Neurospora crassa OR74A: one gene and its partners. The protein of the gene in region 3 interacts with the protein of the main gene of each other region in a biochemical or structural test. Links are inferred from orthologs where the notes say so. Each region holds a gene or a part of one and is shown on either strand. Other genes may lie near its edges.

What was found. The genes of interacting proteins can lie anywhere in the genome.
Region 1: the proteins of NCU02978 (region 3) and NCU02510 form a complex in vitro, tested with the Saccharomyces cerevisiae proteins (2 studies listed by BioGRID). The link is inferred for Neurospora crassa OR74A from reciprocal best matches to the Saccharomyces cerevisiae genes SLA1 and CHC1.
Region 2: the proteins of NCU02978 (region 3) and NCU07438 form a complex in vitro, tested with the Saccharomyces cerevisiae proteins (2 studies listed by BioGRID, with this or other methods). The link is inferred for Neurospora crassa OR74A from reciprocal best matches to the Saccharomyces cerevisiae genes SLA1 and LAS17.
Region 4: the proteins of NCU02978 (region 3) and eat-2 form a complex in vitro, tested with the Saccharomyces cerevisiae proteins (2 studies listed by BioGRID). The link is inferred for Neurospora crassa OR74A from reciprocal best matches to the Saccharomyces cerevisiae genes SLA1 and SLA2.

What each region holds. Positions count from the first base shown.
Region 1 is NC_026501.1:2,560,606-2,566,760, reverse strand, and holds the start of NCU02510 (clathrin heavy chain), read left to right. Parts: upstream 1-1,282; 5' UTR 1,283-1,882; coding exon 1,883-1,972; intron 1,973-2,062; coding exon 2,063-6,155. Other genes in the region: NCU02511 (S-adenosylmethionine-dependent methyltransferase superfamily domain-containing protein), read right to left, coding at 1-662. UniProt on the Saccharomyces cerevisiae protein: Clathrin is the major protein of the polyhedral coat of coated pits and vesicles. In yeast, it is involved in the retention of proteins in an intracellular membrane compartment, presumably the trans-Golgi.
Region 2 is NC_026501.1:624,980-631,224, reverse strand, and holds NCU07438 (WASP-like protein las17p), read right to left. Parts: upstream 4,874-6,245; 5' UTR 4,652-4,873; intron 4,473-4,651; 5' UTR 4,073-4,472; coding exon 3,863-4,072; intron 3,807-3,862; coding exon 2,138-3,806; intron 2,061-2,137; coding exon 2,029-2,060; 3' UTR 1,638-2,028; downstream 1-1,637. Other genes in the region: NCU07437 (eukaryotic translation initiation factor 1A), read left to right, coding at 1-130; NCU07439 (hypothetical protein), read right to left, coding at 5,538-5,699, 5,782-5,853.
Region 3 is NC_026501.1:8,518,143-8,526,434, forward strand, and holds NCU02978 (cytoskeleton assembly control protein SLA1p), read left to right. Parts: upstream 1-3,238; coding exon 3,239-3,436; intron 3,437-3,577; coding exon 3,578-5,021; intron 5,022-5,083; coding exon 5,084-6,922; intron 6,923-6,989; coding exon 6,990-7,015; 3' UTR 7,016-7,472; downstream 7,473-8,292. Other genes in the region: NCU02979 (AMP deaminase), read left to right, coding at 1-829, 889-1,279. UniProt on the Saccharomyces cerevisiae protein: Component of the PAN1 actin cytoskeleton-regulatory complex required for the internalization of endosomes during actin-coupled endocytosis. The complex links the site of endocytosis to the cell membrane-associated actin cytoskeleton.
Region 4 is NC_026501.1:1,865,979-1,870,173, forward strand, and holds the end of eat-2 (cytoskeleton assembly control protein Sla2), read right to left. Parts: coding exon 3,314-4,195; intron 3,212-3,313; coding exon 3,119-3,211; 3' UTR 2,574-3,118; downstream 1-2,573. Other genes in the region: NCU01957 (AR2), read right to left, coding at 110-533, 613-1,116, 1,192-1,232. UniProt on the Saccharomyces cerevisiae protein: Required for cellular morphogenesis and polarization of the cortical cytoskeleton. It might act in concert with proteins such as CDC42 and CDC43 to limit the region of cortical patch formation to the cortex of the bud.

The sequences.
Region 1 (6,155 bases), about 6.0 Mb from region 3:
GCCTCGTTCTCCTCTGCTTCCTTCTCTCTTTGCATATCCAATTTCCTCGAAAGACCCTCGATGTTGGCGGCTGTGAGCTTCTCCTCTCTATCCTCTTCGTCATCCTCATCGTCAGAGAAGACGAATGCCTCCTTCTTGGTAGCACCGTCCTGGTCGGAATCGTAAACCGAGTCGTCGTCAGTGCCGAGGAAATCGTCTCCTAGCTTTTGAACGTCCATCTCATCGCCGTCGATATCAAGGCCCTCCAGGTCGGACGCGCCAAACTCGTCGTCCATCTCCTCGTCATGATCGGGCGAAGGCTGCTTTGCCTTCTTAGGCTTCTTGGACTCCTTGGACCTGTGGGCGGGCTTTGTGCCAGTCTTCTTCACCTCCTTGACCTCTTTCTTGGCGCCCTTGACTGCGACAGTGTTGGAGCCGGATGTCTTGGGCTGCTTCTTGACAATCTTCTGCTTCTTGGATCTTCTAGTGTCGACTTCGGTCGTGGTTTCGTCAAAGGGAATGCCCTTCTTGCGCTTGAGGTTGGCGAAGTGCTCCTCCGAGAGGGGCTCAGGAGGGCCCTGTTTCTGCATGCGACGTCCGACACCCATTTTGATGGTATTGCTGGTCGTCTGGTGGTGATTGGGATGTTGTTGGGGTTGGTTTGAACACTGATAGCCCACCATCGACAGGCGCTTGTGGATATTTCTCCGGGTCGATTTTCTTTTCTGAAAAAGCTTATCGATAGCAATGCCAAGTCTCTTTCCTCAAATCGGGTTCCACCTCACTGCGGTCCCAAAAGGTGAGCCATTGGTCAGTGCCCCACATTAGTCAAGCTGGGCCAAGTTCGGAATCCCTGTAGCAACAGCTGACGCTACCCCTGGAGCTGGGCTGTTCTGGAGTAGGGAACAGCTGCCCCTGGAGCCCGGCATGAACGGCGCCCCCGGAGGCAGGCGGCCTGGAGGTATAAGGTACCTAGAGGTAGGAAATGGAAGGACCGTCTGACGGACCTCGCAGGAGAGGCGATCAATGCGGGCAAAGGAAAGTAGAAGGATGACGGGATGAGGGCGGGCAACCTGGACCGGGCGGACAGCTTGAAGCGAAGGGGGCAGGCAGGCCTCCCGGGCAGGCGCCTGCCGCCTGGTCTAGGCGCACCCGACGCAGGGGGAAGCACTGAATGGAGCCGGCGCCGGTGGGCGGTGGACGCCCCGGCCGCGAGGTCCCGTGTTAACACATCACTCAAAAGCAGGCAGGTAACCTGAGAGGTACTAGAGGTACCTTCCGTCTGCGCTGAACAGTTGCGGCATGTACAAACACACTGGACAGCTGGAGAGGCATCTCACCTCAGCACCTTCCATCTTTCCTGCTGTATCTTTCATCTCTCACGGTACTAACTTCCCGTAACAAACGACGTCTCCTCTTGCTGCTTTGCATCCTTCAACAACCGCGATTCTTCTCTATTCTTTCTGCTGGAGCATTGAAGTGAGGTGACATCGAGGTACCTGCTCGCCTTTACTTTACGTATCTGTAACTGAGCGGCAAATCGCGACTCACCTCTCACCCACAGTTTGGCGGCGGGTTTTACTGCGTACCTGCCTTCTGGACCTTGCGTTAATCCTTCCACCTCCAACCTCCTACCTACCTCTACCTACCTGATTCATCCGTCCTCTTTCCCCCTCCCCATTTCTCGGGAGCTCGGTCATTTTCCCCCCAAAGTACAACCAACCACCACCACCACCGCCTCCTTTCACGTCGCCGCCATTCCATTCAGTCCACGGAGCTTCACGAGCCTCCATTTCCCCAATCTTTCTACTTCCCAGCGGATTCACCTTCCAGCCGCTTTTGATAAGTTGGCTGCTAATCTTCGTCACTCTGCGCGCAGCTTAGCGCAACACCACCGCCCATCATGGCTCAGGCCCTACCCATCAAATTCCAGGAGCTGCTGCAACTCAGCGCCCTCGGCATCAACCAGACTGCCATCACTTTCAATACCTGTGTACGTTGTCCTCACCTTGCTCTGACTCTGCTAGTGACAGTTGTCGCGCCTCCTCTGGCACCCCTGCTGACGTGAACCCCCCGCTCCCAGACTCTAGAATCGGACAACTGGGTGTGTATTCGCGACAAGAAGGACGAGGCAGCGTCCCCTGAAGTCATCATCGTCGATCTCAAGAACGGCAATAATGTTATCCGACGTCCCATCAAGGCCGACAGTGCCATAATGCACTGGACGCGCCAAGTAATTGCCCTCAAGGCCCAGGCGCGCACACTCCAGATTTTCGACCTCGAAAACAAGGCCAAGCTCAAGTCGACAAACATGAGCGAGGATGTCTTGTTCTGGAAGTGGGTTAGCGAGACCACGCTTGGCTTGATCACAGATGGCTCTGTTTACCATTGGGATGTCTTCGACCCGAACCAGCCCGCTCCGGTCAAGGTCTTCGATCGTAATGCTAATCTCCAGGGCAACCAAATAATTAATTATCGGACCAGCGCCGACGGAAAGTGGATGGTTGTTGTCGGTATCTCACAACAGCAGGGCCGCGTTGTTGGCGCCATGCAGCTCTATTCCAAAGACCGCGGTATCAGCCAGGCTATTGAGGGTCATGCCGCTGCTTTTGGCACCCTCCGACTAGAGGGCGCCCCGGAGGACACCAAGGTGTTTACCTTTGCGGTCCGCACCGCCGTCGGCGCGAAGCTCCACATTGTCGAGGTCGACCATCCCGAAACAAACCCCGTCTTCCCCAAGAAGGCCGTGGACGTCTTCTTCCCTCCCGAGGCCAGCAATGACTTCCCCGTCGCCCTCCAGGTTTCGCAAAAGTACGGCATCATCTACCTTATCACCAAGTACGGTTTCATCCACCTCTACGACCTCGAGACTGCCACATGTATCTTCATGAACCGCATCTCAAGCGATACTATCTTCACTGCTTGCGGTGACAAGGATTCGACCGGCGTCATTGGCATCAACCGCAAGGGACAGGTTCTCTTCGTCAGCGCCGATGAGAACACAATCGTTCCTTACGTCCTTGAGGCACACGGCAATGAGCTCGCTATCAAGTTGGCTTCTCGTGCAGGGCTCCCAGGCGCCGATAACCTCTACCAGCAACGCTTCGAGCAACTCTTCAGCAATGGCAACTACCAAGAGGCCGCCAAGGTGGCTGCCAACTCTCCTCGAGGTTTCCTTCGCACTCCTCAGACCATCGAGCGCTTCAAGCGTCTTCCACAGCAGCCTGGACAGATGTCGCATATCTTGCAGTACTTTGGTATGCTTCTAGACAAGGGTTCGCTGAACGAGCATGAGACCATTGAGCTTGCCCAACCCGTTCTCGCTCAGAACCGCAAACAGCTATTGCAGAAGTGGCTCAGCGAGAACAAGCTCGAGTGCTCTGAGAGACTTGGTGACATGGTCCGGCCCCACGACATTAACATGGCGCTTGCCATCTATTTGAAGGCCAACGCTCCTCACAAGGTTGTTGCTGGGTTTGCCGAGACTGGCCAGTTTGAGAAGATTCTGCCCTACTGCGGTCAAGCCAACTACCAGCCTGACTTTATTCAGCTTCTCCACCACATTGTCCGTGTCAATGCTGAGAAGGGTGCCGAGTTTGCCACGACGCTTGCCAATCACGAAGGCGGCCCGCTGGTCGACTTCGAGAAGGTGGTTGACATCTTCCAGTCTCAAGGAATGATCCAGCAAGCAACTGCTTTCCTTCTTGACGCTCTGAAGGATAACAAGCCCGAGCATGCCCACCTTCAGACTCGTCTATTGGAGATGAACCTCGTCAACGCCCCCCAGGTTGCTGACGCCATTCTTGGCAACGACATGTTCTCCCACTTTGACAAGGCGCACATTGCGAACCTCTGCGAGCAAGCAGGTCTTTTGCAGAAGGCCCTGGAGCTCTATGAGGATCCTGCGTCCATCAAGCGGGTTATTGTCAACATCCCTGGAATGCCTAACTACAACCCCGAGTGGTTGATTGAGTATTTCAAGGCGCTGTCTGTTGAGCAATCGCTTGACTGCCTGGACGCCATGATGAAGCACAATATTCGCCAGAATCTCCAGACTGTCGTTCAAGTCGCAACCAAGTATGCGGAGCTCCTCGGCGCGCAGCAATTGATTGATCTCTTTGAGAAGTACAAGACTGCTGAAGGTCTTTACTACTTCCTTGCCAGTGTCGTCAATGTCACCGAGGACCCCGAAGTCGTATTCAAGTACATTGAGGCTGCCACCAAGATGGGACAAATTCGCGAGGTTGAGCGTATCTGCCGCGACAACAGCGTTTACAACCCCGAGAAGGTGAAGAACTTCCTCAAGGAGGCCAAGCTCAGCGAGATGCTTCCTTTGATGGTTGTCTGCGATCGCTTCAACTTTGTTCATGACCTGGTTCTCTACCTGTACCAGCACCAGCAGTTCAAGTCCATTGAGATTTACGTGCAGCAGGTCAACCCGAGCAGGACTCCTGGTGTCATCGGAGGACTGCTCGATGTGGACTGTGATGAAAGCATCATCAGGAATCTCCTAAGCACGGTCAACCCCGCATCTATCCCTATCGATGAGCTGGTGCAGGAGGTTGAGACTCGTAACCGCCTTAAGCTACTCCTGCCCTTCCTGGAGGCTACCCTCGCTGCCGGTAACCAGCAGCAGGCTGTTTACAACGCTCTCGCCAAGATATACATTGACTCCAACAACAACCCAGAGAAGTTCCTCAAGGAGAACGATCAGTATGATACCCTCACTGTTGGAAAGTACTGCGAGAAGCGTGATCCCAACTTGGCCTATATTGCCTATCGCAAGGGCCAGAATGATCTCGAACTCGTGAACATCACCAACGAGAACCAGATGTACAAGGCTCAGGCGAGGTATCTTTTGGAGCGCGCTGATAGGGAACTTTGGATGTTTGTGCTCAGCGAGAACAACGTTCACCGCCGTTCTGTCGTAGACCAAGTCATCTCGACGGCCGTTCCTGAGTCGACTGATCCCGCCAAGGTTTCCGAGGCTGTTACGTGCTTCCTGAACGCCGACTTGCCTGGCGAGCTTATTGAGCTGCTGGAGAAGATTGTCCTGGAGCCGTCGCCTTTCAGCGACAACCAGAACCTGCAGAACTTGCTTATCTTCACTGCCGCCAAGGCTGACAAGGCCCGTGTGATGGACTACATTCACAAGCTCGACAACTTCGCCGCCGACGAGATTGCTAATGTTTGTATTGAGGTTGGCCTGCACGAGGAAGCCTTTGAGGTCTACAAGAAGATTGACAACAAGGAGGCCGCTGTCAATGTTCTTGTTGAGCACGTCGTTAGCATTGACCGTGCTCAAGCATACGCCGAGGAGGTTGATATTCCTCAGGTTTGGAGCAAAGTTGCCAAGGCTCAGCTTGATGGTCTCCGCGTCAGCGATTCCATTGAATCTTACATCAAGGCCGAGGATCCGAAGAACTACGAGGAAGTGATCGAGGTTGCCGTTGCTGCTGGAAAGAACGAAGAGCTCATCAAGTACCTCCGTATGGCCCGCAAGACCCTTCGGGAGCCTGTCATTGACACTGCTCTTGCTTTCTGCTACGCCCGCCTCGATCAACTTCCTGAGCTTGAAGAGTTCCTGCGTGCTACCAATGTTGCCAATGTTGAGGAGTCTGGTGACAAGGCGTACGCCGAGGGCTTCTTTGAGGCGGCCAAAATCTTCTACACCAGCATTTCCAACTGGGCTAAGCTGGCCACTACTCTTGTCCACCTGTCCGACTACCAGGCGGCTGTGGACTGCGCCCGCAAGGCCAACAACATCAAGGTGTGGAAGGAGGTCCACGAGGCCTGCGTCAACAAGAAGGAGTTCCGTCTTGCTCAGATTTGCGGTCTCAACCTTATTGTTGATGCTGAGCAACTCCAGGCTCTTGTCAAGCAGTACGAGACAAACGGCTACTTTGATGAGCTCATCAGCTTGCTCGAGCAGGGTCTTGGATTGGAGCGCGCCCACATGGGAATGTTCACCGAGTTGGGTATTGCGCTGTCTAAATACCACCCCGAGCGCCTTATGGAGCACCTCAAACTCTTTTGGAGCAGAATGAACCTCCCCAAGATGATCCGTGCTTGCGAGGAAGCCAACTTGTGGCCTGAGCTGGTCTTCTGCTACTACCACTACGATGAGTTTGACAATGCTGCTCTCGCCGTTATGGAGCGCCCTGAGAACTCTTGGG
Region 2 (6,245 bases), about 7.9 Mb from region 3:
CAACGAGACCGACACCTTCGGCCCCAACGAGGACGGCGACTGCGGCTTCGAGTTCGACGAGGACCGTGACTCCGAGGAGGAGGATGGCGCCGAGGCCGGTGGCAAGGCCGTTGATATCGACGACATCTAAACGTGTCGTTGCCTTCTCAACACCATATCGTCGCCTCATTCTTCTCGGCACCTAAGAGGAAAAGAGGCAACAAACACCAAATTGTTACCGAAACATGCGAAATAACGCCACCCTTTCCCAACTTCCCCCTTCTTCCTATCCACTCCCTTTTACGTCCTTCTCTCCAAGTCGGTATCCCCAAAGGGTCTGGCCAGGAAGTAAAGGGGTCGTCCAGGAAAGTCCAAAAAAGCTGTCTTCTCTCTCAAACCATTCTGGTGGTCTCTGTTTTCGGTGTGTGTCGGCCGTACGCAGCCAGCCCACGTTTTTTTTTCAACCCATCAACCATAACCGTTAACAGCAGCAGCCAGTTTGGTTCCCCGACAGTTTGGTGTGCCTATTATTTCCTTGTTTTTCCGGTAACAAGACAAGAAACAAATCTTACGAACAAAATCAGGAGGAGGAGAATCGGAGCCAGGTACAATGGTGGGAGGGACGTCATTTACCTGGGTCCGGTTAGTTGGTTTGCGGGACTCGAGGTCCTACAACCAGGCAGAACGAAGGAGGAAGGCTGGCAGAGTAAAAAAGTTAAAAAAAGGGGGGGCGAAGGACATAAAGAGCATCGATCCATCCGCAATGAAAAGAGGATGGTTACGTGCACTCTGGGATATTAAAAGGGGTTAGGCTGTTTTTATGATAGGATGGCTTTGTCATAAACGTCTTTTATGTTCTTTTAGGGGGCTCTCTCATGTCTGGTTTCTTTTTCTTTTTTTTTTTCCCTCTCTCGAGCTAGGAAATGGTATTTTGGTACGATCACACATTACTAGGCTTCTCGGTTCACGCGAGATGTGTCTGTCGGTCACTGGAATGTGACCCTGTAAGAGCCAAAGCACGTCCTTGTTCTACTCGAGGACAAGACGCAACATGTGTTAAACAGCACCTCTTCATCCCCTCCTCGCTCAAGTCCCCATCCGGCTATGTACATATATCATTTTTCGTTCCTCTTCTTGCTCCTTGCAAGACCCGCCCGCACCGCCCAGTAAAAGTCTTGCTTGTAACAACATTCCATCAACCTCACTAGAAGAGAACCGCCGAGATGTCCTACTCTTCACTATTTATGCTTATCCTGGTCCAGTTGTTCGATATATGACCAACACTTCTTCTACGATGTTTCGGAGCTGTCCGTCTCCCCCTTATTCAAATTGTTTCTATGAGACTAAACCAAACCCAAGTGACGAAGTAATTACTGGTCCGTAGGTAGCTCTCGGAAAGCAGCAGCATAAGAAACTCGGGACTCAGGAACATTGAAATTGTTGAAAGCGGCAACTACTGTAGTCACGCGACCGAGTATTTTCCTTTTTTCCAATACAAAACACTGTCAAACAGTCCTAGGTAGGTAGGTAAGTAAGTAAGTAATCTTCAAGATACATATATATCAATGAAACCTCTTCAGGCACTCGCCGCTGTCTTTGAAGAGTATCAAGTTAAGATGGGAAACAGAGAATAAAAAGCTGGTATAGTATTTCTGAAAGTGGAAAAAAAAAGTATAATTTTGCATTTCTTTTGTTTTCTTGTTAAACACCAGTGACGAGGTGTGAATATTTCCAAATACGGTGAAGCTATATATATATATATAGTATGCAACGACACTGCATCCTTTCTTTCATTCCTTCCTTCCTTCCACCCCTCAGCTTTCCTCTTCCCCTTCCTCTCCTTCTTCTTCTTCCTCCTCCTGTTCCAGCAACGGCCCATCCTCGCCGTCATCATCTCCTCTATGGCCAAATAACGACCAGATGAATGGATGATGGTTGGATATCGGTGTCTCTCCAGTCTTGCTTTTCATTCCTTTTGCACTCTTCTCCTACTTGGAACCTTGTTGTTTTCCGGTGGCTCTTCACCGTGTCATTGTTGGTATCGGGCACTTAGTCCCAATCATCACCATCATCTTCATCATCTGTTTTTCCACCAGTGTTAGCATCATTCTCGACATGCTCTCACACTTCACAAGCCAGGGATAATCCAGATACTTACCACTCTTGCTAACCTTCTCCTTTCTCTTCTGCAACGCCAACGCCAACGCATCCGCCATTCCACCACCGCCACCCGGCGCAGCTCCAGCGGGCGGCAATCCACTGCTTGCGGGCCCACTATCGGAGCCACCAGGAACAGCAGCACCGGAACGATCGCGAATCTGGCTTCTGTCTACCTTCTTCAACGCCCTGATACCTCCCGCGGTCTTGATGCCGTCCAACACGGCCGAACGACTGCCGTCAACAGGTGGCAAGGCAGGGGCGGGCGGTGGAGGCATACCACCTGGAGGAGGGGGAGGAGGAGGGGGAGGGACACCACCCATACCACCCGGTGGAGGAGGCGGAGGCGGAGGCGGTGCGCCGCCTGATGGTGCGGGCATGGGTGGCATGGGAGGCGGCGGCGGGGGAGCATGTGCTGCGGGTAGAGGGGGCGCCGGAGGTGCTGGCGGTGCCGGTGGTGGCGGAGGAGGCGCGCTGGTTGCGGGAAGGGGAGGTGGTGGAGGCGCCTGGGTGGCCGGTAAAGGCGGCGGAGGTGGCGCGTTCGAGGTCGGGAGAGGCGGTGCCTGCGGTGGTGCCGGGCTTCTAGTTGGCAACATGGGGGGCGGCCGTGAGCTCGCAGGCGGGAGGGGAGGTGCTGGTCCCGGTGCCTTGGGAGGCAGAGGAGGTTGCGCAGCTGAATTTCTCGGGGGCGGTGGCGGAGGAACAGAGCTACGGCTGGGAGGCGGCGGGGGTACACTTCGTTGGCCTGTGAATGGCGGAGGAACGCTGAACCTCTGGCTCGGGTCCTGATCTTCGAGTGGCGTCTTCGGCGGCCGGGGAGGTGGTGGAGGTCCAGGCGCAGAGGGCGTATGTCGCGGGGGATCAGAGTGGGCAAACTTGCCAGCATCGGCGATGGGAGGAGGAACAGCAAATCTCGGCGGAGGGGCCGGTTCCTGGTGGTTTTCCGTGTCGAGCTTGCCGGATCTCCTTGCTGGAGGGGGAGGCGGGGGTACTGGCCCTCTCCTAGAGGTCGATGGAGTTATCGACTCGGAGACACTGCGCGGAGCAGCAGCAGGAGGAGGTGGTGGGGGAGCTCTCATTGCGGGACCATTAGGAGGAGCGGATGGCGGCGGCGGCGGCGGCGGAGGAGTGCTCGTGTGTATACCCTGCTTCGCTTGCTCCTGTTTCAAGAACTCAATGATAAAGTCCTGGTTTTCGCGGATGAAGTCGTCGTCGAGGCCTTGGGCCTTGAGGTCGTCACCGAAGTGTTCCCTCCACAGGGGATCGAAAGCATCCAGGGTCGCAAACTCGGAAGGAGGCTTGTATCCGTTTATTCCATTAGTGCTTCCAGCTCTCATACGGCCTGCCGGTGCAGCGGCACGTGGCGACTCGGGCGGGGTGGCTGTCGGAGACGCGTGCTTATGTCCTCCAAACAGACCGCCGAAAAGACCGTGGTGCTTGTGGTGGTGTGCCTGGGATGCGCCTCCGAAAGGTGTCTTGCTGGTAGCCTTGCTGGCGTTCTTTTCCCTGTCGTTCATCTTCTTGAGGAACTGCTTGGCTTCCTTCTCGTCCACGAAGGACAAGCCAGCCAGGCATTCCTCAAGCTCGAAGGTATGGAAGAAGACACGGTCCTGGTTGTAGTTCCAAGTGTCGAAGATCTCCTGGTCCCATATCACTCCCCTGTTTCCGGGCTGTCCGATGTCAGCCAAATGGTGGCCAGCCACGCAATCGTCATTTTCACACTTACCGAGATATCAACCATCTTGATCCAATATGTGTTGCCCACGAGATCATTTGCCAGAACGACGGCACCCTGGAGGCCGGTATAGGTCCATCTGGACGGGTTGGGGTAGGCTACATAGAGCCTGGCGACGGCGACGGCGTGGATCTTGTTGGTCTGCTTGGGCACGCAGCGCTTGACCGTTTCCTTGTCGTCGTCGCTGAGGATGGACGGCATCGTGAATATATATGGGGGGTGGAAGCGTGGAAGTGGCTTGAGGTAGGTTGCGGCCTGTCGTCCCCTTTAGATCGTCCAGGGGGAGCAAAGCATGGATAGATTGGGAGTCGTTATGCGGAAATTCGGTAGAAGGACTCGGCCGGCGGGCGCAGCGCCGAGAGGTACTGTTATGAAGCTGAGTCGTCGTGCCTTGATCCGGTCGGCGGGTCGGTCGGCGAGGGGAGGGGGGCAACGTCGACCGAAGGGTGAGGTAGCAAGTCGGAAGTGGGATGTCGTATTAATGCTTTTCGGGTCGTTGGCGCTTGTTATCGACGGCCAAGTATCTTGTCGGTACAAGATAAAGTAAAGCTCCGCGCTTCCGTGGCCTTGCCGCGTAGGAATAAAAGCAGTTGACGGAAGCCTAGAAGAGACAATGGAAGTTGCCGGTTAGCTAGAGGTAGGTCTGGGTATTGGAGGCACGGATGTTTGGTGGTTGGTGGGAGGAATAAGGAAGACTCGGCCGCCCGGATGTCCAATGACTGAAAGGAGCAAAAGCAGATACTGAGTAGAAGAGACGGCGGCAGGCTGGGAATAACGTACCTCGGACAATGATCCAGCAGCCTTCAGTTGGCAAGCTTAGTTATAATCTGCCGTGAAAATTCAATGTATTAAAGCTGTACAGACTACAGAGAGAGGAGCAAGTCCCATTGCAAGGTAGACAAGAAGGAAGTTGAATTGCGGGTGTACCTGGCAAGAGGTTCCTTAGGCATGCAGTGAGTGTACACTACTTAACTACACTATGTACGGGGATTGGGAGTTGCATCACTACGGCGGCGGCAACGACCGGGCTGTTTGGCTTTGACTGAATGGAATCAGGATGGCAACGAAACCCCAGCAAGCCACAATGACCAATTTCCGACGGGAAGCGACCAACTTGTGGACATGAACCAGATAGCGTCATGACATTGTGCCGGGGGTGGATAGGGCGTCAATTGTCCGTGTCCACTAACAGTGGGTACCTATCCCTCAACTGAACCCCTCCACTATTCCCGCCCGCCGCTTGCACAGCCGACCTTTCGCTTGCCCGCCGTGATGATGGATGTCCAACGAGACGGTTCCTCCGAGAGCTGGGTGTTTGAGGGACATGTTGAAACTGGCAATGACAACAACTTCCATGTGCATTTGGAGGTTATATGGCTCAGGTTGATATAGGATGAAAGTAGTGTAGGTATGTACGAACATGGGATGACATGAAAGTACCTACCTACCTTCACATGCTAACATTGCTCCCATTTGAGACAACTTTCGAGGACCAGACCCCTCTCATTTGGGCGCAATTCCACCACCAAAGTCACTTTAGGCTCCAACAGGACTGATCCATCAGAGTAATTGTCAAAACAGTTCAATTATGTTATGTGTATGTGTGTGTATCATTCAGTCATTGCAATCATTCCATCCATTCCCCTGTTTGTCCGAGTCCATATCTTTACTTGTTGAGCGTCTCGGCCTTGGCCCTGCGCTCCTCCTTGGTGCCCTCCTCGCCGCCGATGTTCTGCGAGATGGCGGGACCGGGCATGGCCTTTGACGCCTGCTCGAACGTGGCCTTGGCACTATCAGCGAGCTTGTTGAGGGGGTTGTTGGGGTTCTTCTATTTGTTTGGCCAAAGAGTCAGTTTTCTGTTTTCTGTGATTCACACAAGGCACCAGACTAGGGAGGAAATGGTAACGTACTTGCTCGTCCTTCTGGGTGTCGTGGGGAAGAATGTTGACTTCCTTCTTGCTGAGATCGTCGCCGCCGGCCATTGTGATGGTCTTGATGTTATGACTTGTCTTGATGGTTCGTGAGGAGTGGGTCGTAGTGAGACAACTGAGAGGAGTCTTGATCAACTTTTTCGATATCGTCTTGCAGGAAGATGGGTAAGGTGTAGAAGTGGAAGGTTTTGAAGGTCGAGAAGGGTCTCTTTTATAAAAGAAAACGATGGATGAGCAAAAGGGAATAAATAGGAAGAAACCTGTAGTCGTCGTACCACGTACAAGGGGCCTAAAAGAGAGGGTGTAAGACAATGACGTCGCCTGGGGGTGGTCACGCGTCGTTTACTAGTGTAGGTATGCGGCGGCAGGCACACTGAATGACAGCTGCTAAAACCTCCCACGAACAGCGCATCAAACCGACAAGACGGAGCATTGGATCTTGA
Region 3 (8,292 bases):
GCCTTTACGATGTCTACAAAGCTAGTGGCGGCGTAAACACGTTTGAGGAAATTGTCAGGAACATCTTCGAGCCCTTGTTCGAGGTCACTAAGGATCCCTCCAGCCACCCCAAGCTGCACATCTTCCTGCAGAGAGTCATTGGTTTGGACAGTGTCGACGATGAAAGCAAGGTCGAGCGACGACTGTTCAGGAAGTTCCCCGTCCCTAAGATTTGGGACGGCAAGCAGAACCCTCCTTACAGCTACTGGATCTATTACCTGTATGCGAACATGGCCTCGCTTAACCATTGGCGCAAGAGGCGTGGGTTCAACACTTTTGTCCTCCGTCCCCATTGCGGTGAAGCGGGTGACAGCGAGCATCTTGCCGTCGCTGCTCTGTGCTGCCACAGCATCAGCCACGGTCTTCTCTTGCGCAAGGTTCCTGTCTTGCAATACGTCTTTTACCTTGAAAAAATTGGTATTGCCATGTCGCCATTGAGCAACAACGCGTTGTTCTTGGCATACGAGAGAAACCCGATGCACCAATACTTCAAGCGTGGCCTCAACGTGTCGCTCTCCACGGATGATCCTCTCCAGTTTGCGTTCACCAAGGAGCCGCTTATCGAGGAGTATGCGGTGGCGGCGCAGATCTACAAGCTCAGCCCCGTGGATATGTGCGAGCTTGCAAAGAACTCTGTGAAGCAGAGTGGTTACGAGCGTTCGATCAAGGAGCAGTGGCTGGGCAAGAACTTTGACTTACCAGGAGCCCAGGGCAATACCATGGTCAAGACCAACGTGCCTGACCGCAGAGAGGAGTTCCGCTATAGAACTCTACTTGAGGAAAGGGGAATGTAAGTTTATGTACTTCCGTCGACCCTGTGGACGACTGCTGACAAGTGAATAAATACAGGGTTGAAAGATACAATGCCCTCGCAGCCGAATCGGCGGCAGCTGTTGCCCAAGCAGCCCCCAAATCTCCGGCGCCGCCTGCGAAGGCTATCATTGGGGAGGCGAAGACACCGCTCAACACCAGCACTTTGCAGCCCGCTCCGCACGGGGGAAACGACTCCCTTTCACAGTCCCAGACCCTTCCCAGCCCCATGCAGCAGTCGCCTCAGCTGGGACTCCCCAGTGCCGCGCTCGAAGGAACAGGAACCGCCACTGGTCTCACCGACTCGATGAGGGAGCTGCATCTCCCCGAGCACGAACCTAGGTATTTCCCCGGGGTGATGTCGCGCAGCCAGGGGCGCAAGACCAGCACCCGACAGAGTTCGTTGCATGAGAGCGATGCTAAGCCGTAGGTGGCTGACATCACCTCATCTGGAGAATTCGTCGGCGAGGTGGAGATGATGAGAAGGAAGGACACACCGAGCGTGATTGTGATGGAGGATTATATGGAGGACATGCAGCCTCCAGAAGCTACGGTGGGGATGGCGCAGGAGGTGGGGAGTACGCCTGTGCAAGACTGTCCTGACTGTTTGGAGGTGGTATGTGAGTGAGTGAGTGAGTGAAGGGCATCTTCGTTGAAGATATTAGACATTGGGCCATTCTGGGTCTGGACTGGCTGGGTAATGCAAGTGGTACTGGTATCTGGAGTCATGCTATATAGACTTGACAGAATATTGAACCGAGTTCAGAGGGTGATTCGATCGATATAGGTATAATCTACGTTGAACTGGCGTTTAGACTTTTGGTCAGGGTATCTCCACCAAGAAAAAGGGGGTCGACAATAGTTGCTACTAGCTTGTATTGATGATTACGTTACCGTACGCGAGGGAGTTACGACGAAACAAATGCAATTCAGGGGGCGTATAAATAACATCGACACCCGCTGAACGGCTCCCATGCCCAGCGGACCCCGACCTGAAATGAACGATCCACCAAGCGCCCAAATGTCAAGAGGGAAAACCCGGGATATGACGCTATCTACACGTGCGGTTACAGTAGATCGCTGATGAATGCCCGGGTTTGCCGGTCGGGACCAGCTGGCTGCTGTTTCTTGATTGATTGATGGGAAAGTTGGGCGTGAAGAAGAGCCCAAGTTGACTGTCACAATTAAGCCACAATTACGGCCAATCAATAGATACTGTGTAACAAAGTGAAAGTTGCGCTTTCGAGGTACTTATTCAGGTGCTATGCCGTACCAGCAGCGCTCGAGATGCGGCTGGGCTGTGCTTGCTCCTGCACGATCTCACTCTTTCGGGTTCAATTTGGACAAGAATCCTTCGTTCCTGCGCCAGTACCTTGCTTCGATGTTGTTGGTCGGTCATTGGGGTTGACCTGAACCCTCGAAATGCGCTGCGGTTATTCCAAATAAAAGCTAGGTACATACACCTCCAGCGCTGGGAGGTTACGTACCTGTTCTTGGGGTTTCAAATTGTAAGGTACGAACAAGGTGTTCATTTGTCCTCGGGTCAATAGTGCACTTCCTACCTACGCTTGATTTGATCTCGAATGGATTTTCCGTGGACATTGCAATTACATAAATATACATTTTGGTGATAGCATCCATGAAGATCGCGGTGTCTTCGCGACCGCTTCGTTGCATCGTCTAAATTCCCCCAAATTCAGCGAACCCCCCCACCCCCCCGAACACACACCCCCCGGACCGGCTCCTTTAAACGAGCACTTGGGTCCACGACTTGGACATAGAGTAATTTCCAACGTCTCCCTTGGCTCGACCATTTCGACCGCAACTCCAGACTCTTGATCACGATAAAGGTCAAATTCCTCGCAGGGTCACCGCAGCCGCGCGTGCTCGCTGTCGTCGACATCTTCCCGACGTTCCCTCGCTCGAAATTACAGGCTACCTATCCGTAGGTACCATACAGGAGGGCCTTGGCCGGCCGCAATCCTACGCGCAAGCGGGCATACCTACAGTGCTTGCTTCAGCGGCTACCCCTTGCTTCAGGAGCACCCGTACACTCTAGAAGAGCTTCCATCCTCGTTCACCTTCTGCCCGGCAGCCGCAGCGCCGCACCCCCGTCACCCGTCACCAACCCAGCGTCACCCGCTCTCACACGCTGCTGCCGCCGCCGCCGCCGCCGCTCGCTCCTTGATTCCATTTCCTACCGGACACACACACACCCCCCCTTCCCCGGCAGAACCAAGACTTGTGATACCACACCACCAGCCACCATTCGCACCACGGCGCCTTTCGTTTTCCCCAATTCCTTTCTTCGCAACAGCAACTCCCTTGCGTCGGTTCATGTCGGCTGCCATCCAAAGGGCATCATACGAGCAGATTTCCCGCAGCAGCCATGGGCTTCCTCGGCGTCTATAGGGCCATTTACGATTACACGCCCCAGGGCGAGGGCGAGTTGACAATCTCCGAGGGCGACATTCTCTATGTGTTGGAAAAGAGTCAGGAGGACGATTGGTGGAAGGCGAAGAAGAAGGCCAATGCTGCCGACGATGACGAGCCCGTCGGCTTGATCCCCAACAACTACATTGAGGAGGTATGTAATGTGGTCCGAGGTCTAGATCTGGATTGCGTGCAGTGTCATCTGGGCACTTGTACCTGCTTGGAGGATAGCAAGCTGGCTGGCCTTGGCATTCAGATGGATCACTTGAACTGACCGCGCACACCATGACGCCAGGCGAAACCCGTATCATACGCTCGCGCGCTCTACGAGTACACGCGTCAGACCGACGAAGAGCTCTCCTTCCCCGAGGATGCGCAGCTCTCAGTCTTCGACACTTCCGACCCCGATTGGATCCTTGTTGGCCACGATGGCGACTACGGCTTCGCGCCCGCCAACTACATCGAGTTGGGCGATGGCCAGGCTGGCCAGGTCGAGGAGGAGGAAGAAGCGACTGCCCCCCCTCCTCCTCTTCCGCAGAGGACACCCAGCGTCAGCGTCGATGTAGCCAGCCCGCCCCTGCCCGCCAGGAGTGTGCCCTCCGAGCCAAGCACCCCTGTCGCCGCTTCCAACCCTGCTGCCGCCGCCATCGCCGGAGTTATGGCCAACCGCTCTTCTTTCCAACCTCCAGCGCCTATCAGTGTTCCCCAGCCCCAGCGACAGTCATACGCTTCGGAAGATTACGAAAATGAGGTAAGGTCCCCGCCGCTTCCGAGCCGCCCGCGGGGCGATTCGCAAATTGCTCCGGAGCAAAAATCCTACAGACCGGTGCCGCCGCCCGCTCAGTCAGCAGCCCACGACACCGACGACTATGGCATTAGCCCGCGAACCTCCCAGGCTCCTCCTCCTCAGACCGCCGCGCTTACCCCTGGCGGTTTCCACATGTACAACATCAACGAGATGACGTCGGTGATGGGCAAGAAGAAGAAGATGCCTACCACGCTGGGCATCAACCTGAGGACGGGAATGATTCTCATAGCGCCGGAACATTCCCACGACGGTCCATCGCAGGAATGGCGGGCCGATTGCATGACACACTACTCTCGGGAGGGCAAGCACGTGTTTATGGAGCTCGTACGACCAAGCAAGAGCGTTGACTTTCATGCGGGCGCCAAGGACACCGCTGAAGAGATCGTCGCGATGCTGGGCGACATGGCCGGAACTGTGCGCCTCGAGGGACTCAAGGAGATCATTGCCGCGGGAGCCGGAGGCAAGAAGAAGAAGGGTGCTGTGCTGTATGATTTTATGGCTCAGGGTGAGGACGAGGTTACTGTCGGCGTTGGTGATGAGGTAGTTATTCTCGACGATACCAAGAGTGACGAGTGGTGGATGGTGCGTCGCGTCAAGAACGGCAAGGAGGGTGTGGTTCCCAGCAGCTACATTGAGATCAACGGCGTGTGGGAAGAGCCGGAGACGGCCGTTACCGGTATTGCCGTGGGCATGTCGGAAGTCGAGAAGAACCGCCTGGAAGAGGCGCGCTTAACCAAGGAGGCTATCAAGGCTGCCCAGCGCGAGGAAGAGAAGGAGAAGCAGAAGAGGAACTCTGAGGTAGGCCCAGGATTGCAATTGCAAGAACGAAATAGTAGTTTGCCGGCCACAGATGATAACAGGAGAGGAAAACAGCGAAGCAGTAGGCGCGAACCCGGTCAGAACAGCAGCTCCAAGTCGTCAAGCAAGTCGAGTAAGTACACCCATGTCCAGATTTTCTTTCAGAGTATGCAGAATACTGACAGTTTGTCGCAGAGCCCGATCCTTCCAAAGTGCGAACATGGACCGATCGATCCAAGTCCTTCAGCGTTGAGGCCCAGTTCCTCGGTGTCAAGGATGGCAAGATCAGGCTCCACAAGATGAACGGTGTGCAGATCGCCGTGCCCGTCTCGAAGATGTCAGTTGAGGATCTCGAGTACGTGGAGCGCGTAACTGGCGAATCTCTCGACGAAGACAAGCCCCTATCCGATCTTAGGAACAAGCGATCCGCCGGTGAGTCTTCGAGGTCTAGTCGATCGACGCGCGACAGGGAAAGAGACCGTGGTTCCAGCTCCCGGGTTGGCGCCACCATCGATTCCTCGAAGAAGCCCGACTACGACTGGTTTAACTTCTTCCTTGGTTGTGACATACAGGTTGGTTTGTGCGAACGGTATTCTCAAGCTTTCCTGCGGGAGGCTATCGACGAAAGTGTCTTGCCAGATGTTGATGCTACTGTGCTGAGGAACTTGGGCTTGCGTGAAGGTGATATTATCAAGGTCATGCGGTACCTGGACAACAAGTACATGCGGAACAAGAAAGGCGAAGAGGGCGAGGGAGGACTCTTCTCTGGGCCAGGAGGTGCGCTCCGCAACAACACGAAGAAGGGCAGGCCGGCGCCCCCCGTCGAGGTCAGCAACACCGTTGATCCCAACGCTTTCTCTAAGGACTCGGGTGCTGGTAGTGGCAAGTCATCATCTCCTACGGCTGCGGCTACGCCAACACCGTCTGCCTCGAAGCCTTCCAGTGGCTTTGATGATGATGCTTGGGATGTCAAGCCTACCAAGACGAAAACCCCTGAGCCGGCTGCGCAAGCCGTTGCTCCCGCTCCTGCGGCGGCACCCGCTGCCGCTCCAGCCCCTGCTGCGCCAGCTCTGGTTGACGCGCCGGCCCCCCCTCCGCCGGCGGCTCTTACCAAGTCGATGCAGGAGTTGTCGTTGCTTACCCAGCCTTTGGAACCCGAGAAGGTCGCTCCTCCGCCAGTTGTGCAACCGGCCATCACGTTGCCTCCGCCCTCCGCGGCTCCAGCTCCGGCTGCTGCTGCTCCTGCACAGGTCCCTCAGCTTACCGGCGCCACTCCCGGCTTCTTCACCGGTATGCAACCTCCTGCTGTTGGTGCACAGATCCTTCCTCAAAACATTGCCCGTCAAAGACCTCTTGCTCCTCAGTTCACTGCGGCCCCGGGTGGTCTTGTTGCTCCACCTCCATCTCGCCCCCTCTCGGCGCCTCAGTCCGCTCAACCCAGCGCCTTCACGCCACCCCCTATCCAGCCTCAGATGACCGGTTTCCAGGCACCCCAGATTGCTCCTCCTGGCCAGAGCCTCGGCGATCTCGCCCAGCAACGTCTTCAGCAGCAGTACACCGCCCAGATGCAGGCCCAGCAACAACAGATGCAACAGCCTATGATGACGGGCATGCAACCTATGATGACGGGCATGCAGCCCCAGCAGACCGGCTTCGGCCAATTCCCCCCTCAACAACAACCCTTCATGCCCCAGCCTACCGGCTTTGGTATGCAGCAGCAACAACAACCCATGATGACAGGCATGCAGCCCCAGCAAACCGGCTTCGGTCAATTCCCTCAACAACAGCCGCAACCCTTTATGCCCCAGCCGACCGGTTACGGTCACGTCGGTGGTGGACTGCCGCCTCCTCTCCAGCCTCAGGCTACGGGCATGAGCTTCACTCAGGGCTTTGGAAACGGACCCCAGCAGCATCAGCAGCCGTTGGTGCCGCAGCAGACGGGGCCGGCGCCGCCTGTGAGGTTCGGTATTAGTGGTGATGCGAAGAAACTGGCGCCGCAGGCGACGGGGAGGAGAGCCAACTTGGCTGCTGCTAGTAAGTTTTGCCCGCATAAAAGGCATGTCTTGTTGTAGTAAAAGGAAATGTGCTAACAGTTTCCTAGCTCCCGATAACCCGTTCGGTTTCTAAGCTTTCTCCATACAATTCATGTAGGCTTTGTCGGATTCTTGTGAGTGGTTGAGCGTGCAGTGGTTGGGTTTAGTTTTGTTGCTTGGTTGGGGCTGGTTGTTAATAGACTGTGCGGACTACCCAAGAAATGGGTGATGCAGAGCGAGGTGAATCTGGAGTGAAGAAGAGAACTCGGTGAAAGGAAACGCAAATGCGAGCGGAATTGGGAAGGTTGGTTGGTGGTAAGTTCCATGGTGGGAAAGGTACCTAGTGAGGTGTGAGGTGTGGTGCAAAGCATTAGCGAGTTCTCCGAGACAAACAAACACAATTAGACACACGCCGACGAAACAGAAGGAGAAGAGGAAGAAGAGGCAGTAGAAGCAGTAGAAGCAGCAGCAGCACCGCGGATCGCATAGCATCGTTGCAATCTTTTTTTTTATAATAAGATGGATAACTTTTTAATATGATAATTACTAAGATGGATTGTCAAGTTTCGGGTTACCTCCGTCTTCTTGGATGTGAATGAAAACTCTCAAAAGTCCCAACAAAGTTGCCACGTATGTATGTATCAAACGACGGCACTTGCTTCTTCTTCTATTCTTACCATACCGATGGTGGATAAACTTGAACGTATCGTTACGATTGTACTTGATGTGACTGTGACGGCACATCATGCCAGCACATGTCGCAGTACTAAAGATCTTATTTACCTGCCATCTGGTCTTTCAGGTCTTACCTTTTATCCTATTTGGACTGCTGTCATCGCATATCAGAGGCCCTAGATATACACAATTCTTTCTCGTGTAATAGACTGAGTCATCTCGTCTTCCTGCTTCGTCCCTAACTCTAATATTGTATTACTTTCGTCCAGACGTGTTGGACGCACGCATCAACCCACAGTACATGATGTAAAAGTGTAATGATATAGGATCCTCAGTAAGCAATAGGTAGGGACTTGTGGGTTTTTCAATCTAGCTAGGTATTCATCAACATTACTTCACTATAAGACGCACTTCGCCGAGGATACTGAGAGTAAGGAAGGGCCTTGTATCAATCGTCTATTATTCTCATTTACCTATTCTACAAACTACCCTAAATGACCCTAAGCCAATATCATGAGTGCATATCTTAGATATTACCTACCTACCTACCTGCCTACCTACCTACCTACCATACAAAAGCCAATGCATATGACGCTTTGATTGATCCTTGTCCCATTGTTAAAGTAAGAAACGCTTGCAAGACTGATTATATAGAGTAACCTCACTCCGTGAGTCCGCTGGTCAAACCTCTCCAAC
Region 4 (4,195 bases), about 6.7 Mb from region 3:
TTTAGCCTCAAAGAGCTATCATCTTCCGCTGTTATGTGCCACCCGTCACAAACATCACTACAACCTCCTCGCCAAACACCACGCTCAACGTCACGATCGGCAAAGTGATTCATGGACGAGCACACTTCGCCCCAACGCCATTGTAAGGTGGGGGAGGGTCAGGGTGTTGTACATTTGGGTTCGTCGGAGTTGTGTTTAGGGTTTCCGCAATTGGTAAGGTCCTCGGAAGTCCTTGTTCGTTATTGATCGCTTTCGATACGTAGCAAATGATACAGCCAAACAAATCGAGAGGCCATATTCCAACAAACATCAGAGGTATCAGGCAATATGCTGCGATCCGGGTTCTTTGTTGGTTTTCTGTGTAGTGGGTAAACGTATCGATAGCTCCATTCCAATGAACCCAAATATTTATCGATCGATACCAGAACCACATGTACCCAATGACAACCCATCCAATAATGGCTGGAATGACTGTCTGGGTTGGGAAGTTGTGGTTGTCAACCTCAAGGGCTACTGACTCGGTGATCTTCATCCTAGAATATTTATCAGTATATGAGAAAGGAATTAGAGTGACCGGAAAGTAGAGAGTTGAATAGTAAGCGAGAAACATACCTGGAATACTTGATAGAAATTTTGCCACGCTTGCGGGCAACACCAAGAGAACGGAAACCACGGGTAGCGAACTCAGCAACCTTGTTCTTGTAGGCCTGGTCAACCTCCTCAGAGATGGGGTGGTCCTCCTCGACAGTCTTCAAAACGAGGGGCACCCTTGACGCAAGTGATGCGCTCACCCTGGGGAGACTCGACGACGGCGACGACCTTCTTGGAGACGGGGTCGAAGGGGTGGAACTGGAGAACCTTGTACTTGGAGAGAATGGACTTGGCGCGGGGGTAGTACTTGAGGGACTTGAGGAAAGCCTTGTGACGACGGCGACGACCTTCTTGGAGACGGGGTCGAAGGGGTGGAACTGGAGAACCTTGTACTTGGAGAGAACGGACTTGGCGCGGGGGTAGTACTTGAGGGACTTGAGGAAAGCCTTGTCGATGGTATCAATACCCTTCTTCTTGCGGGAAGCGGCTAAGCAGGCAGTAAGCATGAGATCCTCGGGGTCGACACTATGATATAATCATCAATGTTTGGTTATATGTTGGGAGAAGAATTTGAGAGGGGGGATACAGTAGTTTAAGTACCTGTTGGGAGGGCCCGGGTCGGGTTTCCTATCTGATTGCATTCATCCTTTGTGACCAGTCATCCTTTCTGTACGAGTACCGGTAAAGCTCACTTCTGCAAGTACATAGGTAGGTTGGGAGGTCCGAGGGCACACGGTTTCCAAGTTTAATGCCTACCGTTTACCAGGCGGGATGAATACTAAGGTTGTAATATCATCCTGCCTATACGAGCGAAGCTCACTTCTGCAGGTACATAGGTAGGTTGGGAGGTCCGAGGTTACGGTTGCCAAGTTTGATGCCTACCGTTTACCAGGCGGGATGAATACTAAGGTTGTAATATCATCCTGCCTACACGAGCGAAGCTCACTTCTGCAGGTACATGGGTAGGTTGGGAGGTCCGAGGTTACAATTGCCAAGTTTAATGCCTACCGTTTACTAGGCGGGATAAATAATAAGGTGGCAGTGTCGTCCTGCCTGCACGAGCGAAGCTCACTTCTGCAGTTGCGTAAAGGTAAGCAGGCGCTGGTGCTCGGCAACATCGGTACATACCTAGAGCGTAGAACAGCGCGACATACCAAATACAAACTATCTAAGCTGAGGCTTGATTCGCTTTCATTCGCATATTGACCAATGTAGGTATTGAAGTCTACGTAAGAATCCCAAACCCAAGGACGCTGTAGGCTATACTATATCTCGACCAAGACCCGTAAACGACCTGAAGAGGCTCCCCCCCCAAAAAGTATACCCTTGAATATTTTGCTGCAGGTCCCAACCTATAAACGCCATGGAAGAATGCAATTGCTTGCCCAACGCAGCCCCACGCTGCCCTGCTCTCCCATACATCTCTTCTTATTGTACAGCTCATGGACATCACAACCATCTGCCCGCAGCAAACACCAGCGGATCCAATACTTGGCACTGGTACATCCAATTACCCGTCATCCAAGCTATTGGTTGGTACGACAACGACGACTCCGCAGGAGCACTTTAATAGCATAACAACGTGAACGCCAACCGACCGGAGAGGGAAGCAGGAGAGTGTGATGGTTCGACTTTAGCTTGGCCTGCCAGAATGGGAAGAACTAGGAAATGCAAGTCAAGAGGGAGACAGAGACCAGACTTTCAAGCTGACGTGGGGAACGAAAAGAAAAAGAGAAAACAGCATAATGGACCAGGCGATAGGAAGGAAACGGAACTTGAACTCCCTCCACCAGAGATTTTCTCGTTCTGAATCTTGCTGCACGAACGAAAGCAGCCACCGATGACGAGACAACGAACGGGCTGCGACAAAAAAGCGAAGAGAGGGAGTGAAATGGGCCGTATAAGCAGACGTAGGGAAATTGGACAGCCGAGGGCTGAAGGACTGACGTGACAGGGGAAGGGGAAGAGGAGGCGGAAAAGGGGTGATATTCAGCAGCACAAAGCACGAAATTTGGTCGCCTACTCACTCTTGACGTATCTGGTAAACTTTCTGGCAGACCGACCGATCGAGCGAGCAGCGAGCAGCGAACGCGAAAATCGAAACCACAAAAAAAGGATGTACATCGCCATAAAAGAAACACGACGGATGCCAGCAGTATGACAGCGGGAGTGGCGGTTTGCCTGTGTTACCAAACACCCGCGCGAAGAGCGAACGGAACATATCCGAGGCCGAAGTTACGACGGCCAATTGACGACTTCAGTGGATGAAAAAGAACAAGGTGGATGAAACTGAGTTTAACACTAACACCTGATGACTCCCAAAGGAATTCGAGCTAGGTACAGAGGGGGTAGTTGAAATATAAAACATCTGATGAAGATTTTGGAAGACGCTGCGGGACGAAAACAGAATGAGGGAGGGGATCTGGTCGGATGCATGTGCCCACGCTGCGCATTGAAGCGTAAAGCCAGCGAGATGAATGAAGCCACCGAGTATACTACCTCAACAACCCCATGTGTTGCGGGACAATCAGTCCTCATCCTGTTGGTACGAAATCTTGCGCATCTCGCCAAGTCTGTGGCGAGCAGCATTCAATGCGTTTTCGAGTTGAAGGATTTCGACCTGTGATGGGGAGAGAATGAATTGGTCAGCAATGAACCATAATAGGCAAGACCAAGGGTACCGGAAATGAAAGAGGAAGGAAATCTCGAAGGAATCACGTACCTGTTGCTCCATCTCGCGCACCTTGAACTCGTGCGACCCAAGCTTGCTGTAGTCCACTTGCTCATCCTCGGCACTGCGGTCCTTGATCATGCTCTGGACTTGTCTGACGAGCGCACGGCAGGCGGCACCGACAGCCTTGCTGGCCTCCTCCAGGCTCTCCTGGTTCTTGCTCATGAAGCCGGCCTTCACACGGCTGGCAGCCACGAGCTGGGCGGTGGAGGCCGCAACATTATTAGATGCAACGATGAGCTGCTCAGGGCTGTTGCGGTTGGAAAGAACACCGTCAGCAGTCTCGATGAGAGTGCTGGTAGAGTTGGCAACAGCCTTGGCGGCGGAAATAAGACCCTCGGTCCATCTGTTGTTCTTCTTGTAAAAGGCGGTGCGCGAAGACGAGCCACGACCAGCTTGCACAATCTCCTGCTGTGTAGCGGTGGCAGCCTTGATGAGCTGCGCGATAGCGGTGGTAATGGCCATGGCGGCATCGAGGATTGAGTCGTGGACCTTGAGTTCGTAGGTAGTATATCCATCGCGAGGTTTGTTCTTGAGCTTCTGCAAACGGGCAACGGCAGCAGCAATGGCATCGGCTGCCCTGCTGAGTTCTTGATCGACGATGTCGCCAAGGTCACCCTTGTTAGCGAGCTGGCCAAAGCCAGGAGCGAAGGTCTCGACAAGCTTGTTCAGCTTTTGCAGGTTGATCTGGACATCGTTATTGCTGTTGATGACAACGTCGGTCTTCTGAAGTGGATCCATGCCCTCAAGGCGGAAGCTCAACAGACCACGGAAGAACTTGACTGTCGAATGGGCAGATGAACGAGCACCGTTGATCAAAGAGTCTCCCTTCTTCTCGTCAGTAGCGAGGCGAACGAGACCCTTGGTGTTACT